Linked DNA regions of Alligator mississippiensis. The protein of the gene in region 1 binds, or shares a complex with, the protein of each later gene. Links are inferred from orthologs where the notes say so. Each region holds a gene or a part of one and is shown in the gene's direction. Other genes may lie near its edges.

Region 1 (8,124 bases):
TCTCCACAGCCCCTCATCCTGAGGCCCCCTTCCCCATTTGTGGTTGTAAGCTATGCTCTGCAGAAAGTCATCAGTGTGATACCCCTTGGTGACCGTCCCTACCTCCATCCCCCCTAGGAGTGGTTCACGGTGTACGAGCACAACCGGCTAACACGCTGCACTGTGTCAGACCTGATCATGGGCAACGAGTACTACTTCCGTGTGTACAGCGAGAACATCTGTGGGCTCAGCGACTCGCCTGGCATCTCCAAGAACACCGCCTTCATCCACAAGACAGGTCTGATGGATATTGGGGTTCTGACAGGCCAGAGCAGGGCTGGAGCCATTCAGCCAGCAGGAAGGGGTTGGGAGATGGCACACCTTGATTCTCTCCCCAGGCTGGGGGTGCATGGGGTCTAGCGGGTTAGAACAGGGCTGGGAGCCAGGGCTCCTGGGGTCTCTCCCAGCATTGGAGCAGTAGCGTCTCAAGGGCTGGAGCAGCAGAGCTGGGAGCCCAGACACCTGGGTTGCACACCAGCTTTGTGAGTGTGGCTATAGCAGGGAGGCTGGGAGCATAGATACCTGGGTTCCAGTGGGGTGGACCTAGCCAGGCCAGGGAGGGGAGTGGGGGGCATGGGACTGGCTCTCCATGTCCTCACTCACCACCCTTCTTTTGGTGCCCCCACCCAGGGATCATGTATAAACCCATGGACTACAAGGAACATGACTTCAGCATGGCGCCCCAAATCTTGACACCCCTGGTTGACCGCACTGTGGTGGCTGGGTACAGCACAGCCCTGAACTGTGCAGTGCGGGGGCACCCCAAGGTACACAGTCCCTCTTGGTCAGGGACTCTCCACCCAAAATTTTCCTACCCACTGGGGTCTGGGGAGGGCACCAACACCCTGAACCTGGTAACATGAAAGGCTGGAGGTGAAGCCTTACCTTCCCCTGGCCCCAGACTGGTCCTCTCTGGAAGGAGGTGTTCATAGAGTGCCAGGGGAAGCTTGTAGTTTATCTTTGGGATCACACACTTGATTGTGGGGTAGGTGAGATTGGGGATCCCTCCCCCCAGTGTGGATGTAGGTGGAAGGTAGTTGAGGGACTGGGGATCCTCCCCAGTATTGGTGTAGCTGCTGGATAGCTAGTGGACTGGGGGTTTCCTTCCTGGTCAAGTGTGGGGGGTAGGTGGGAGGGGTCTGAGGTCTCTGCCCCCCTTGTGTGTGGGGTGGGGGTCACTTGCCCCCCACTGTGGTTGGGGGAGGTTGGAGGCTGTATGATGCCCCTCTCTTCCATCCACGATGCTCCTCCCACCCTCCCAGCCTAAGGTGATCTGGATGAAAAACAAGATGGAGATCCGTGAGGACCCCAAGTTCCTGATGAAGAACAACCAGGGTGTCCTGACGCTGCACATCCGCAAGCCCAGCCCCTTTGATGGGGGCACCTACAGCTGCCGGGCTGTCAACAACCTGGGCGAAGCCCTCACTGAATGCAAGCTTGAAATCCGAGGTGCCTGCTAGGCTGGGGAGCGGGCACGGGGAAGCTGGCAGGGCTGGAGGGGCAAGAGGTGTTGGGGTCAAGCTGAGGGTGTGAGGTGTCTATGGGCTGGGGAGGATGAGAGGTGCCCATTGGGTGGGCAGTGAGGGAGGGGGTGGCTGGAGGCAGGGCTGCCTGTCTGCCCACCTAAGGCTGTCTGTCTTTCCCTCCTGCAGTGCCCCAGTAAAACCCAAAGTGCAGCCACTTGCCTGGGGAGCAGTGAGTTGGGGAGAGGCCTATGGGGGAGTGGGGAGATGGGGAAGGGGGCTCTGAAGCCCTGGCTAGCAGGGCAGAGGCCATTGCTAGTGGGGGAGGGGGAAATGTGCCTAACACGGGAAGGAGGCTCTGGGGCCGTGCCTAGCGAGCGAGACGCTGTGGCTAGTAAAGAAAGGGCGTTTGGGGGCTGTGGTTAATGGGGGCCAAGGGCTCTGGCCTCCTTCACCTCACTATTCTCTCCCTGCTCACAGACCCCCGGACAGCAAGGACTGAGTGCCATGCCCTGCCCCTGCCCCCAAGGACAGCAGTGTGGCAGGGTGAGGACATGCACACAGAGAAAAGGGCACCACCTCCTGCCACCTCCCTACACCCCATCAGTGCCAACTGGGGGGGGGGGGGGGGGGGGGGGGTCAGCTATTCCTATCCCCCCCCCCCCTACTGGAGCAGAGCCCTGACTCCCCTCCCCTGCAGCTCATGCTTGGATTTCCTCACCCCTCACTGAGTCTGTGTCTGTCCATGAGTCTGTCCCAGTATCTGTCAATAAATGGAGCCCAGAGCTCCCTGCCAGGCCCTGCTGAGTCCATTTGTCCTTTGAATTGATGGGGGCAGGGGAGAGGCATGGGAGGTACATGGAAAGGAACCAGTGAGTCTGGGGTGGTGGGTGTGTTAGAGCAGGGGGCTGGGAGCCAGGACTCCTGGGTTCTCTCCTGGCTCTGGGAGGGCAGTGGGCTCTGGTGGGTTGTACGGGGGCGCTCCGTGCATTAATGGGGTGCAGCATTGAGGTGGCTTGACTACAGTTCCATCATGGGACTTTATTGAAGGGCTCCCCGCTGGTCTGTGGGGGATGGTGCAGCTTCTCTAGGACTTTTCCTTCTCAGACAGAAAGCTCTGGTCACTGGAGTCAGGTTCTGATGGTAGGGAAACAGTGGAGGCTCTGCTCACTATGGAAGCTCTGCTCAGCTTGGAAGCTCTGCTCAGCTTGGAGGCCTGTGCAGCTGGCTTCTCAGAGGGCTTCAATTTGGAGGGGGCTGGTTCTGCTTTGCGCCCCCCTCTTCCTTTTCCCTGAGGTACTGGAATGTCACTATGGGGGAAGGGAGGAAAGACAGATCACAGGCAGTCAGGATACCAGGGTTCTATCTAAACTCTGGGAGAGTGGGGGCTGAGAGGTTACTGCAGATGGGGCTGGGAGCCAGGATGGCTGGGTTCTCTCCCAGCTCTGGGTGGAATGGGGTCTGATGAGTTACAGCAGAGGGAGAGGTTGGGGGCCAGGGTGCCTGGCTTATATCTATGCTCTGGGAGGAGAGGGTGGGGGTCTGGTGGGGTTAGGAGCCAGGATGCCCAGGTTCTGGGAGCAGGCAGCAGGGACACGTGGGGAAGACCTGGGGTAGCGCCTAAGCCAGGCTGGCCCCCCACAGTAGCCAGTCTCCCCTGTTCCTCATCCTGTCCATCTCTTACCTAACCCCAGACTCACCGGGTCCCTTTAGCCCTCGGCACTGCCCCAGGACACTGGTAGCGCAGACGGTAGAGTAGCCGCACCCACTGGCTGAAGATCTGCTCCAGCTGGGCCAGTGGAGCCAGCAGCTGCAGGTAGAAGGTCCGGCCGGAGGCCAAGCGCACCTTGAGCTGGTACCGGTCCTCACTGTGGATGGAGAGGTGGACGAACTGCAGGGGCAGCATCCTGGGGGCAGTCAGGGAAGGTCATTAGTGGGGGGGGGGCACTACCAGGGTATCAAGTTGGGGGCAGCCTGTTAAGAGACTTGGGGGGGGGGGTGTGCGTATTTGCAGTTGGCTGGCACCTCAGGGCAGCTACAGTATGGGGCCAGGACTGCAAAGGGTGTGGGTGAGGGGCACTGGGGACTACTTCTGGGGAAGGCAAGGACATGGATTAGGGGCTACTGGGGGGGATATTAGGGGCATGGGGGAGGCAATAGGATGCATTAAGAAGTACCAGGGGGCAGCAAGAGGGGGTTATAGGGATGTGGGGGAAGGCACCTGCAGACAGGTAAGAAAGCATGGTTAGGGGCTCCACTGGGGAGGGGGCTGCAAGGCTGGGGAGGAAGGTATAGGTAGGACTCACCCAAAGAGCTCCAGCTCCTCCCCTTCTGGCGGCAGCCCCAGGGCACAGCGACAGCGGCAAGGCGCCAAGCCGGGGCCCACCACAGGCCGTGCCAGCAGCAGGAGGTCAGGCAGCTCCAGCCTAGGGCTGGTGGCAGCAATGCCCATGGTCACCCTGTTGGCCAGGTCCCCCCGCTTGGTCACCTGCAGGGAGATGGGGGTGGGGGGGGAGGTGCAGGGTCACTGTGGGATGGGGAGTGGGGCAGGAAGGCTGGGGACAGGGGCAGGAAGGGCTGAAAGTCTAGTGGGCTGGGCAGCACTGGGGTGAAGGATGGAGAGTAGTGGCAGGGGACAGGGGCAGGGCTGGGCTGGAAATGGAGGGGATGGGGCGTGGGGGCTGGGGCCCAGGCTGGGATGGGCTTGAAGTGTGGGGGGTGGAGATGAGAGGGCTGTGGGGCAGGAACACTGAGGGCAGAGCTGTAAGGGAGGGAGGGGGGGCATGGAGATACTGGGGGAGGGTGGGAAGGGGGAGAAGTGGGGCAAAGCCCTGGCAGGGATGAGGAGCAGTGGAGGGGTAGGGGGAGGCTGGGCTAGCAGTGGGGTGGGGGCACCCAGGGCAGAAGAGGGATGCTGGGAGTAGGGTGGGGATGGGCAGGGCTGAGGGCAAAGTGGGGGGGTGCTGAGCCTGCAGTGGGGTGGGGGTCAGAGGGCAGAGCAGGGGCCACTGGGCCAGGACAGGGCTGGGCAGGGCTGCCTGGGGCTGGGGGGCTCACCTGGAGGAAGTTGCTCTCGAAGAGGGGGCAGTGGTGCAGGGGCCCATACTCCCCGCGTGCCAGGCACTGCTGCAGCCCCCCAGGGCGGGTGCACAGTGCAGCGTGGGGCTTCCCCTCCAGGGTGGGCTAGAGCCTGTGGGGGGGCACATATCAGGCAGGGCAGAGCAAGGTGGGTGGGATCCATCCCGTCCCCATAGCGCAGCCGGTGTCATCCCCAGCCTTGGAGACGGGTCCAAAATGACGGCGGGGTTGGAGGTTGTCGAGGTCCAAGATGGTGCCGGCCCCAAGCTGGCACGTCCCCCTCCGCCCCACGTGACTCCGCGGCTCGCCACCATCCCAGGGTGCCCCGCGCGGCGCGTCCTCCCCCTCACGTGACGCGGGCCATGGCGGCGCGGGTGCTGGCGCTGGCGCTGCTGGTGTCGCTGCTGCCGCCCGGGGCTGGCAGCGCCGCGTCCTGCCGGGGCCTCCGGGTGAGTGCGGGTGGACGCGCTGGAAAACGCATTCGCCTCAGTAATATTCACCGCAGTCGCCGAGGCCGAGGGAAGACGGCTTGTTAATATTCACGAGGGGGCGGGGCCTCTGTAGGGAGGGGGACACGACGCTCGGCCTGGGACCTCATGAATATTCGTAGTAGGAGGAGTATTCAACGGACTTATTAGTTGTCACTCATTAATATTAATAAGCAGCCAGAGAATAGTGGCAAGTGCGGCGCGTCATGACTATGTATGAGCATCTGGTTAATAGTGTGTGGGAGTAACACCATGTGTTGCATGGTGATGAGCTGCCTAGTTGAGGGGGATTTGAATTATCAATATTCATAAGTGGGTCATTAGCAGGGAGGTGTGGAGCTGAGCCCCAACCTCATATGACTAATATTCACAAATGCTTTAGCTAGATCTAATTAACATTCATAATGATTTACAAATTCTGCCATGACTGGCACAACAGAGGCGGGCAGGCCAGTCACAGGGCTGTTAATATTAATGAATTTGTATTAATATTAATGAGCCTGTTCACCAGCGACCCTTGTGGGGATGCCTGGGTTACATGGGGGAGGGTGGGGCCTGGGTGCCATCCAGGACTCAGAGGGGTTGTGCTGATCAGTGTCCCCTGTGCCCTGCAGCCGGGCGAGGGGCGGGACTCTGAGGCCTGTGGCATCACCCTGCAGCTGGAGCACTCGTTCGAGCTGAGTGAGTCAGGGAGGGGACGGGTGTCAGGCTGAGATCCCCTCCCTGGGTGTTATGGCGGGGCAGGGGTGGTGGAGAGGGTAAGAGGGTTTACAGTGGCAGGGAGGGGCTCTTGTCTCATGAGGATACTGCAGGGCATGGCAGGGGGAGGGGAGGACAGGGTTCAGGGAGAGTAAAGGGTGGTTGCTGGGGGCATGGATCGTGGCATTAATTCCCTGAGTGGGTTGTGGGAGAGGACGGATGGTTGACATGGTGGGGAGGCTTCCTGCTGAAGGGAGCTGAGGGGCTGGGGTGCAGCGGGGAGATGAGGGGGAATCTGCATCCTCTCTCAGGGAAGGGGAGGGGGCCGGTGGGAGGGTGACTCCTTGTTGTGCTCTTACACCACTCCTCAGATGACAGCATCCACTTCCGGAAGCGGGGCACCCTGCTCTGGACCCTGGCGCCTGATCCCAGTCTCTCGCTGTCCCAGAAGCAGCTGAGTGAGGGGGAGCGCAACTTGCTCAGGGTGAGGGCTGGGGAGTTCTCAGCATGGCTGGTGGGGGCATACATGGAGGGCCTTCTCCTTGTGGGGAAGCTTTTACCCTGCTCTTTGGGGCCAGGAAGGAAAGCTGTTGTGTGGAAGCAGGGAGGGTGAGGCTATGTAGCCCATAGGAGGGGCTGGGGCAGGGAAGGGGGTTTGGGGGATGCTGGCATCTCATCCCAAAGAATGGAGGGTGGGTGTGTAGCTGGGGGGTGAAATATATGGCTCATCCTGATGGTGTCCCCTGCCCTCAAGGAAGTGGCGGCGCTGAATGGGCTGTATCGTGTCAGGATCCCTCGCTGGCCCTTGGGAGCTGCAGATGAGCTTGCTACTGAGTATGTCACCTCCTTCGTCCGAGCAGTGAGTGCCCCTAAGACGTCACCCCCAGCCAGCCCCATTTGGCTTCTTGGTGATTTCAGTGGATGGGCTGGGGTGTCTGGCTGGTTCCCTCTCCCCAGGGGTCCTTCCTGCCTTTCCCCCACCCTTGGCTGGTTCCTCTTGGTTGCTAAATCCTCCAATCCCAGCTCCCTTGTGGATTGAGAGGCTGGTGGCCTACCTGTGGCTGGAGGCTGGGGGTAGGGCAGAGCACAAAGAGGGAGAAGGGGAAGATGTCTCAGTCCTGCTGACCCCATCCCCTCTCACCCCTAGTGCTCATTAGTGGAGTCTCACATCTCGGACCGGCTCACGGTGCACACAGATGTGGCTGGGAACGTGATCGGCATCTCCATTGTCACCATGCCTGGCTCCTGCCATGGTGCTGAGGTGGAGGATGTGGACCTGGAGGTCTTCAACACCACTGTGGTGCTACAGCAGCCAGTGCCAGCTGCTGTGTGAGTGCAGGGACAGGGCCGGGACCCGGGAAGGAAGGGAGTTGAGGACTGGGGTGTGCAGCAGGGAGATGACTGGGTTGGGTGGGGGCTGTACCCTCTCTGACAGGCTTCCCTCCCTCCTCTTCCCCCAGCCCTGAGACGGCAGCATTTATCGAGCGCATGGAGCAGGAGCAGGCGCAGAGAGCCAAGAACCCGCAGGAGCAGAAATCTTTCTTCGCCAAATATGTGAGTGCGGGATCCTGAGTCTGGCATCGGAGACCCCCAGCACAGCCTTGGGACCCAGCATAGCACTAGGACCCCACTTTCACAAATACTTAGCCCTTTTAGGAATCCCCCAGCACAAGCACTGGGATCCCACCTTTAGGGAACCCCCATCTACTGGACCAGGCTTCCACCAACTACCCCACCTCCCTACCACACAGAACCACACAGGGATCCTCTCACCCAAAACCTCCAACCAGTGCTGCACCCCTCCCATACAGTCCCTTCCTACAGATTATCCCCCACCTTGTGCCTGGTTGACATGTGCTCTCCCCCCACCCCCCCTGCAGTGGCATTTAATATTGGGCGGGGCCGTGCTTCTCCTGGCCACCAACTCGGTCAAAGCCCCGTGGGAGCCTGGACGCCAGCCTTGAGCAGCCAAGTAAACCCCCTGTCTCCACCCTGCTGGCTTCTTCCCCCTGTACCACCCTGCTCCCCCATCCCCTTCTGGCCCCATCCAGCAGGGAGCAGGAGGTGGCATGGCTGTTGCACATCCCTCCTGCCAGGCCAGCCCACTCCCCATCACTGTCTCGCTGGTAATGGACAGGGAGGAAGATCTTTGTCCAGGGGCTCTCCCATTGCTGATTGTGGGAAGGATTGCTGCTCACCCCCAACCCTGGTGGTGGGGCTGCCTCCTTCCCCAACCCACTGGGGTTGGCTTGTATGGTGATGATCACTGGTGTTGGGGCCTGCTGATTGCCTGGTTGGGGGCAGGTGCCCCTCAGGGTACCCTTGCTGCCGTTGAGAGCAGGGCTGTCCAGTACCAG
Region 2 (7,890 bases), on another chromosome or scaffold:
GGGGGGGCTCTGACGTTACACAGGGGAATTCCAGAAAGTGGGGGGCAGGGGTGATGTCACCAGGAGCCCCTCCCACGAGGCCGGGGCGGAGCCTCCGAGGCGGAACCGGGCGAGAGCGAAAGCGAAAGGGGCGGCGGGACACACGGTCCAAGACACGATCATGGCCAAGGCCTGCGCCCTGCGCCCCGCCGGGGGGGCCGCCAGGAAGGTGGGCCGTGACGTCACGGGGACCCCCACGAGGGGTGCATCTGAGGCCAGATGGGGCTTGGGGGCTCCCCGAAAAGTCCCCAGCCTGGGGGGGGGGTGACCTGGGGCCAGATAGAGGGGCATTACGCTTGGCGTGTGCCACCCCAGAGCCAGCTGCATTTCTGATCCTTCTCACCCTGCCCCCAGGTGGCTGCCTTCCAGGAAGCCCTCTTCAAGGAGGTAAGTACCCCCCAGCCACCCCCCCCCCTTATTGCCCCTCCAAATACCTGCCCCATGTGACTCCCTACCCCGGTTTTTCACCCCCAGGCTGAAGAGTTCCTGGCCACGTTCCTACCCCAGAAAATCCTGCAGCTGGACAAGCTCCTGAAGGTATGAAATTGCCACCCCCTCTCCTCTGGGGGTGTTGTTATACCACCTGTCCTCACTAAATTTGCCCCACTCAACTCCCCGCCCAGGACAAGGCTCTGAACGTGCAGGATCTCTCCAGCCTCCGAGCCCCGCTGGAGATCCCCATCCCTGACCCGCCCCCCAAGGATGAGGAGGTGAGTGGGAGGGTGCTCATTCCCCCACTTGGGATGAGGGGGGCGGCAGAGGGTCTGATCGCTGCTTTCTGCAGGCCAGCACCATGGAGACCGACAAGGAAGAGAAGAAAGAAGGTGAGTGTTGTGGGTGGGGTTGGGGGGTGCTTTGGGGTTTACCCCCCCTGACTTCTCTGTATCTCACTCAGCCCCCAAGTGTGGGTTCCTGAAGGGCAATGAAGCCATTGTGGCCCTGCTGGACCGGGTCAAGCCTGAGGTGCTGACACTCAAGGAGAAGTGCATCCTGGTGAGAGAACCCCCCAGCCCCCTGCAGGGCTGTGAGCTTCCCCACAGTAGTGCCCTTACTACCTTGCTTCATCCTGCAGGTGGTCACTTGGATCCAGTACCTGATCCCCAAAATCGAGGATGGCAATGATTTTGGGGTGGCTGTGCAGGTAAGGAGGTGCCCACCCCCCAACTTCCTGCATCCCAGATACCTGGGGACCCCTAATCCAGCTATTCCTGGATTCCCAGAGGCCTCCAGCCCAGGTGCCCCCACCCCGTGCCTCCCCGGACTCCCACATGCCCTGAACCTCCAAAACCCCTGGGGGTCCCTAGCCCAATCATTCCTGCCCCACCCCACCCCACTCCACCCCCGTCTCCCTCTGCCCCCAGGAGAAGGTGCTGGAACGAGTGACAGCTGTGAAAACCAAGGTCGAGGGCTTCCAGACAGCCATTTCCAAGTGAGTCAGGCTGGGGCATGCTGGGTAGTGCCCCCCACCCCATGACACCATGAGTTACATGTGCTCTGCCCTGTGGTAATGTCTGTTCCCCCAGCCCAAGGTTGTGGGGAGCAGGCTTCCTGCCCCAGGGCATTATGGGTAAGGAGCTGGGAGCACCTGGTTGGCCTTGGTGGGGGCTATACCTTTTCCCTACTTCAGCTTCCCTGCCCCAAGGCATTGTGGGTAGCAGCACCACATGGGTGCCCATGGCCACAAGGCATTCTGGGTAATGGTCCCAGGTTGGTGTCAGCACCCCACAGCATTGTGGATAGCTGCTCCTTATGGGTGCCCATGCCCTCAAAGCATTGTGGGTACTGGTTCTGAGCACGGCATTATGGGTATGACCCCTGAGCGCTCTCTCTCCTTGCCCCCCCCAGGTACTTCTCTGAACGTGGAGATGCTGTGGCCAAGGCCTCCAAGGAGACCCACGTGGTGAGTGATTCAGCCCCCCGGGGCTGCAAGCTTCCTCCCGCAGTTCCTTCCGTCAGTCACCTCAGTGCATTGGATGCTGCAGACTTCCCTTGAACAGTGCCCTCCCCCAGCAGCAGTGGCAGGCACCCCAGTGCTGCAAGCTTCCCCCAGGAGTGCATCCCAGTCTAACCAGTGCCCTCTCCCCAGATGGATTACCGAACCCTGGTCCATGAGCGTGACGAGGCAGCCTACAGAGACATCCGAACCATGTTGCTGGACATTCGGGGCTTCTATGTGAGTTGCGGAGAGGGGGGTAGGGGGCTCTATTTTCTCTCTCCCCCTCACCTCACCCCCTGCTCTGTCCCCACCAGGCCGAGCTCTACCACATCCTGTCGGAGAACCTGGAGAAGCTGACGAACCCCAAAGGGGAGGAGAAGCCGTCCATGTATTGATGATGCAGCGCGGCCACAGCTGCCCCCATACCTGCCCCACGGTGGGTGGGAGAGGGAAGGGGCACAAGGTGGCATTTACAGGCAATGCAAATAAATGGTTTTCTCAGACATGGCCTGGTGTGTGCATCCCTGTCCTGAGCTGTCATGGGGGAGATGACACCCCTTGTGTGTCATGGGGCATGGGGGCCTGTTGGCATGTGCCTCAGTATTGTGGGTAGGACCTCTCAGATGGAGGGCAGCACATCCGCCTTCCTTGTTGCCCTCTGTGCCCCAAGACATTGTGGGTAACGCCCCTGAGGTGCCCTCCCCCCATGGCTGGCTATTGCCTGTGACCTCAGGGCTCAGGTGCCTGCATCCCAGGGCACTGTCGGTAATGAGCACTCGTTGGCATCTGCCACAGGACACTGTGGGTATGGTGGGGGGCCTGTTAGTATCTACTGCAGTGCACTGTGGGTAATGGAGACCTAGTAACATCTGCTCCAGGGCACAGTGGGTAATGGGATGTTATGAAAAACCTGATGCTATTCAGTCTTTTGAGAGACAAGACTACATCCCATTTATGATAAGGGTTTTGCCTGCTCAGACACAGAATTCAGTGATGGTTCCACTTCCCTTATTGACTACCATTTTTGTACCCCCAGACAAGATACAACCACATTTCCCAATGCTCCTCCATTCCCTCTGCCTGTAAAGCTTTACGACAACCCAAGTCACACAGAGGCAAGAAACGTCTAACAACCCAACCTTGTACTGATTATACCCCAAAGCACAAGAATAAGCACTTGTTTCTATATCTGTTTTGCTACTGGCAACAGCACAATACAAATTCTCACCTCTAGTGGCCAGGTGAGATGCAGGAGGGAGGAGAAAGTTGGCTTGCACGCTGGCAGCAGCCCTAAAGACTCCCCCTGTTCACACTCAATATGTGGGTTATTTAAATAAATATTCTGATCAGTGTTATTCAAATGTCTTTGTTTCACTGAAACTTTGGGAATGGAACCAGTTTTCCTGTGGGCTCAGAAGAGGCCAATTTGCTAGTGAAAATTTCAATCCAGGGAGAGGGAACTTCTCTCTTTCCCTCACCATCTGGGAATGCTCCTTGCCACGTTCTGCTGCTTTTACTTTGCTGACAAGGCCAGTTCTAACATTAATTCATGCTGGAACAGGCTTTGTGGCCTGCTCTAGCCACACTTCTACAGGTGTGCCCAGGGGTAGAGGTCGCTAGCCCTCCCGGGTCCCTTGAAACAGCACTATACCTAAACTCCCGGCGGCCTCAGGTGAAGTTTTAGTATCAGGCCCCAATAACGATAACGGTAATGATAAAGAGATATAATAATAATATAGAAATTATGATAATAATAAGAACAATTACTATTTTTGGGCCCCCTTTCTGTCCAGGCCCCAGGCAGCTGCCCAGTTCGCCCATGCCTGTGTCCAGCCCTGCCTTGAAAACAGCCAAACCTAGCAACAAGTTAACAACAAAAATGCACAATTATTGCACGAGATTTCTACCTATGTGCAACTCACTTGCTATCAAAGGCAAAACATCAATCATTCCTTCTAGGTACTGTTGCACGCTTTTCCAAAAAGCAGTTATTTGTTCTGGACCTAATCTAATATTCATGGCTTGATAAACAGATTCTTGTTCTATTTGCCCAGGTGACTGCTTGTTATTTAAATGCAAGCTTATTATTGATGTTGTGACTCAGGCTTTTGCTCAGTCCACAGTCAGCAGTAGCTGGTGTGCTCTGTCAGGTCCAATCCATATGCTACACTTACAGTATTGCCAACTCATGATTTTTGGCACTGTTCTTAAAGTCTATGCTTTGGGAATGTGAAAAACTTAGCTCTTCCATATAAAAGAAAGCTGTTTTTCACATTGCTGAAGCATACACTTTAAGAACAGTGCCAAAAGTCATGAGAGTTGGCAACATTGCACTTATGACGTGATTAACCACTTAATCTTGTCTTGTCACCCAACCGTATGTGCGCAGAATCCTAGAGGAGTGGGGCTGGAAGGGACCTCCAGCGGTCAGCTAGTCTAACCCCCTGCCTGAGGTAGGATCATCCCTATGCAAACCATCCCATACACTCATAATTAAGCAATTAATAACATGATACAAGGAGGAATAGCCAATGCAGGGCACTAAGGGTACCTATCCGCCATCCCCACTCAGGCGCAGAGCATTAACCCCCCACAACTGAGGGCCCCGCAGGGCAGGCTGGGGAAGGCCAGCGGGTGGCGCTAAGCCCGGAGAGAGGCCGCTTCTCTCCCGCACTGGCCGCTCTAGGCGCCCCCTCGCTGCTCCTGCGAGAAGCCGCGCGGGGAGGCGCTGGCGCGGGCTGGCAGCCACTCAGCGTGCCGGCCGTGTGGCAGGAGGCGGGAGCAGAGCCGTGCCAGCCAATGGCGAGTGGCGGCGAGGCTGGGCGCTGGCGGGCGGGCAGGCGGCCGGCGGGGCGATGGCGGAGGTGGAGCTGTCGGGCCGCGCCTACGCCAAGATGGCGCTACACGCGGCGCGGCACCCGGCAGCGGCTGTCAGCGGGCTGCTGCTGGGCCGCCCCGCGCCGCCACCCGCGCGCTGTCTCTGCTTGGCCGACTGCGTGCCGCTCTTCCGCGCCGCGCCTGTGCTCCGCCCCATGCTGGACGTGGCGCTGCACCAGGTGCGGACGGGGCGGGGCCCTCTGGGCTAGGGGTAGGGTCAGGGGCCACAGGGACAGGGAGGGGGCGGGGAAAGCGGCAATGACGGCAGGGGGAGGGGCCACAGGGAGAGTGACAGGGAAAGGGCGGGGCAAGAGGCAGAGTTGTCAGGGGGCGGGGCCACGCGGTGTGTGTGGGAGGGGCCTAATGCGGGGCAAGGGGCGCTGTGCCCACAGTGGGGGTGAAGGTGCCGGGGGTCCCTGTGGCCCCATCCTCTCTGGCAGGGGACTGGTGCCTCCTGAGTCCTGGGGGGCACAGTCTGTGGGTGGACCTGGGGCGAGCCAAAAGCCCCATATCCACCCCTATACTTTTCTGCCGCAGCTTAGTGCCCCCCCTGCTCAACACGCCACCACCCTGCGGGGCAATAAAACTGCCAGGTCTTGAGCGGTACCAAGTCAGGGGCCACTCTTGTGTGGGGCGTGTGCCCTCCGTCCTCCCCCTACCTGTCGCCTGTGCCCGCAGGTGGAGGCATGGGGGGCAACGCAGGGCCTGCTCCTGGCCGGGTACTACCAGGCGGGCGCGGGGCTGGACGAGCTGAGGTGAGTCAGGGGTCCTCGGGTGCAAGAAAGGGGGGGGAAGGTCAGGGGTCCCGCTGACCCCTGTGTGCCCCCCACAGCCCCCCGCCCCTGGCGCAGCGCGTGGCAGGGCGCCTGGCCGAGCTGTGTGAAGGTGCCGTGCTCATCATGGTGAGACTGGGGGTGGGGGGAGTGAGGTGAGGGGTGGGAGCCTGGGGACTGGGATCACTGGTTCGGTGGTGGTGGAGGCTGGGGTCAGGGGTCGGGAGTGGGGGGAAGTGCTAGAATCATGGTTGGGGGCAGTGGGATTGGGTGCTGGGGGCTGGGATCAGGTGTGGGAGGGATCCTGGGGGGTGGGGGCTGGGGTGCAGCGGAGGCCGGGACTGAGTGCTGTGGGTGTGGGGTGCTGGGGGTGGGATCACAGGTTCAGGGGTGCTGTGGGGTGCTCCCCCCCTTCTCTGACACTCTTCCTCCCCCCCAGCTGAATAACCGGAAGTTCACCATGAGCCCCCGTGTGCCCCCCATCCTGGTGCTGGAGCAACGGGACCGGCAGTGGGTCCCCAAGGACAAGAACTTGTGAGTGAAGACACCCGCACCCCTAGCCCCCCTCTTCTGTAGGCTCCCCCATTGCCCTCTCACGAGACATGACCCAGGCGTCCAGGCAGCTCGCTTGTCAAGGGAGGAGGGACCCAGGCATCATGGCTCTGTCCCCTCCCCCACTGGTGTTTGCAGGAGGAACCCAAGCATTCAGGGCTAACTCTCCACCCCCACCCCCCCAGGGTCATGTGGCAGGACTGGGAGTCCTCCCGCCGGGTCTGCCAAACCCTGCTGGAGGCCAAAGCTTATACCCAACTGGTTGACTTTGATGCCCACCTTGACGACATCCGGAGGGACTGGACCAATCAGCAGCTCAACGCTGAAATCGCCCAGCTGATGTCAGTGGCCAATGGCAGTGCCTGAGGTCTTCCATTGGAGGATATGGTGGGTGTGGCCAATGGGCTGCAGTCAGGTTGCAGCTCCGAGCTGCAGAGCCTTCCCATGCCTGACTTGGCAGCCAGTCAGATGTCCAGGATAGTCAGTACTGACCTAACCCCAGGCCAGACCCTCATTGCCCCCAGATATTAAAAAGCACAAAATGCCCCCAGAACAAGCAGAAAAGCAGGAATATTTAACCTCTGTGATGTAGAAAATATGAGTAATAAAAGTCCGTTTATTAAAACAGGAATTTTAACCCAAAAGCAGATCCGTTACTTTTTAATTCAGAACAAATTGAAAAACTTGTTCAGAGAAAGGTCTTTTAATTTGAGGTATTTTTGGTTTATTTTAGAATCTCTCTTGTTCCATAGAAAGACACTTATTTTGCATTTTTCTTCTTTCCTTCCTCACTCCACCATAATCCTCATTTTTTAAAGAGCTCAAAATGCCAAATACTGAAACGTGACAATCTGAAGAGTTTAAATGCGCCTTGTAAAGTGCTTTTTTTTGTGGGGGGGAAATAAGGATTTGATGTTTACATTTCCCTATTTTTTGTGTATACCTTGAGTTTTATTGAATATTAAATATGTTAATATATATTATTACATTAAATATATTATTTCTTCCTTTTTCAACACAACTATGTAACCATGTCAAAAACTATAAACTTGTGTGTGTGTGTGTGTATACATACGTAATACACTTCCTTCAATAGATTATTCTGATTTTTTATCTTATACTTTTGTTGCACAAATGCTTTTCTATTGAGTTTTGCAATCAAAACTCCTCATTTACTTAAAGAATTGGCCACAAAGTTACAGAAATGAGAAGCCAGAAATTTAACAAAGCAACTTGGAAACTGAGGGTTTTGTTTGTTTGTTTTGGCCGAGAAAAAGCATTTTTGTTTTGTTTAAAAAAAAAAGAAAAGATTTTTGGTCTCTATGAAAAATATGGTTTCTTTACTCAGTTATTTAAGAGTGATGTTGTAGTTGCAGTAGTCCAGGAATTATGCAAGAGAAAAGAATTTCTTAGTATGATATCTTTCATCCAGCCACCTGTGTATTTGGAATAAAAGTAGAGCCTTCTTTCCCGTTGACAGACCTCGGCTATTTAATTTCTTTTTACTTTTTTTTTTTTTGTAATCAGCTTTTGTATTTATACATCTTAATATTATTAAATTTACATGGCTGACATTTTAAATACAAGTATAAGTTACTTCAGTAAAATAAAATGTAATTTAATTTATTTGAGGTCCATTTAAACAACATTTAATGTATCAATAATATGTTGATTGCAAAAATCAAAGAAATAGTAAAAAAAAGTAGCAGAGGT

What was found.
Region 2: EMC10 (region 1) and EMC9 share a complex: the UniProt entries of both Homo sapiens proteins name them as parts of the ER membrane protein complex. The link is inferred for Alligator mississippiensis from reciprocal best matches to the Homo sapiens genes EMC10 and EMC9.

The regions. Positions count from the first base shown.
Region 1 is NC_081828.1:40,239,585-40,247,708, forward strand, and holds the start of EMC10 (ER membrane protein complex subunit 10), read left to right. Parts: upstream 1-4,942; coding exon 4,943-5,029; intron 5,030-5,682; coding exon 5,683-5,749; intron 5,750-6,138; coding exon 6,139-6,251; intron 6,252-6,521; coding exon 6,522-6,626; intron 6,627-6,914; coding exon 6,915-7,096; intron 7,097-7,227; coding exon 7,228-7,321; intron 7,322-8,124. Other genes in the region: MYBPC2 (myosin-binding protein C, fast-type), read left to right, coding at 118-277, 670-806, 1,302-1,488, 1,983-2,233; GARIN5A (Golgi-associated RAB2 interactor protein 5A), read right to left, coding at 2,590-2,812, 3,203-3,409, 3,809-3,954. UniProt on the Homo sapiens protein: Part of the endoplasmic reticulum membrane protein complex (EMC) that enables the energy-independent insertion into endoplasmic reticulum membranes of newly synthesized membrane proteins.
Region 2 is NC_081830.1:7,802,790-7,810,679, reverse strand, and holds the start of EMC9 (ER membrane protein complex subunit 9), read left to right. Parts: upstream 1-4,830; coding exon 4,831-5,031; intron 5,032-5,530; coding exon 5,531-5,607; intron 5,608-5,684; coding exon 5,685-5,754; intron 5,755-6,064; coding exon 6,065-6,159; intron 6,160-6,362; coding exon 6,363-6,543; 3' UTR 6,544-7,890. Other genes in the region: PSME2 (proteasome activator complex subunit 2), read left to right, coding at 161-208, 394-426, 514-576, 663-749, 824-863, 935-1,032, 1,112-1,180, 1,401-1,468 and 3 more. UniProt on the Homo sapiens protein: Part of the endoplasmic reticulum membrane protein complex (EMC) that enables the energy-independent insertion into endoplasmic reticulum membranes of newly synthesized membrane proteins.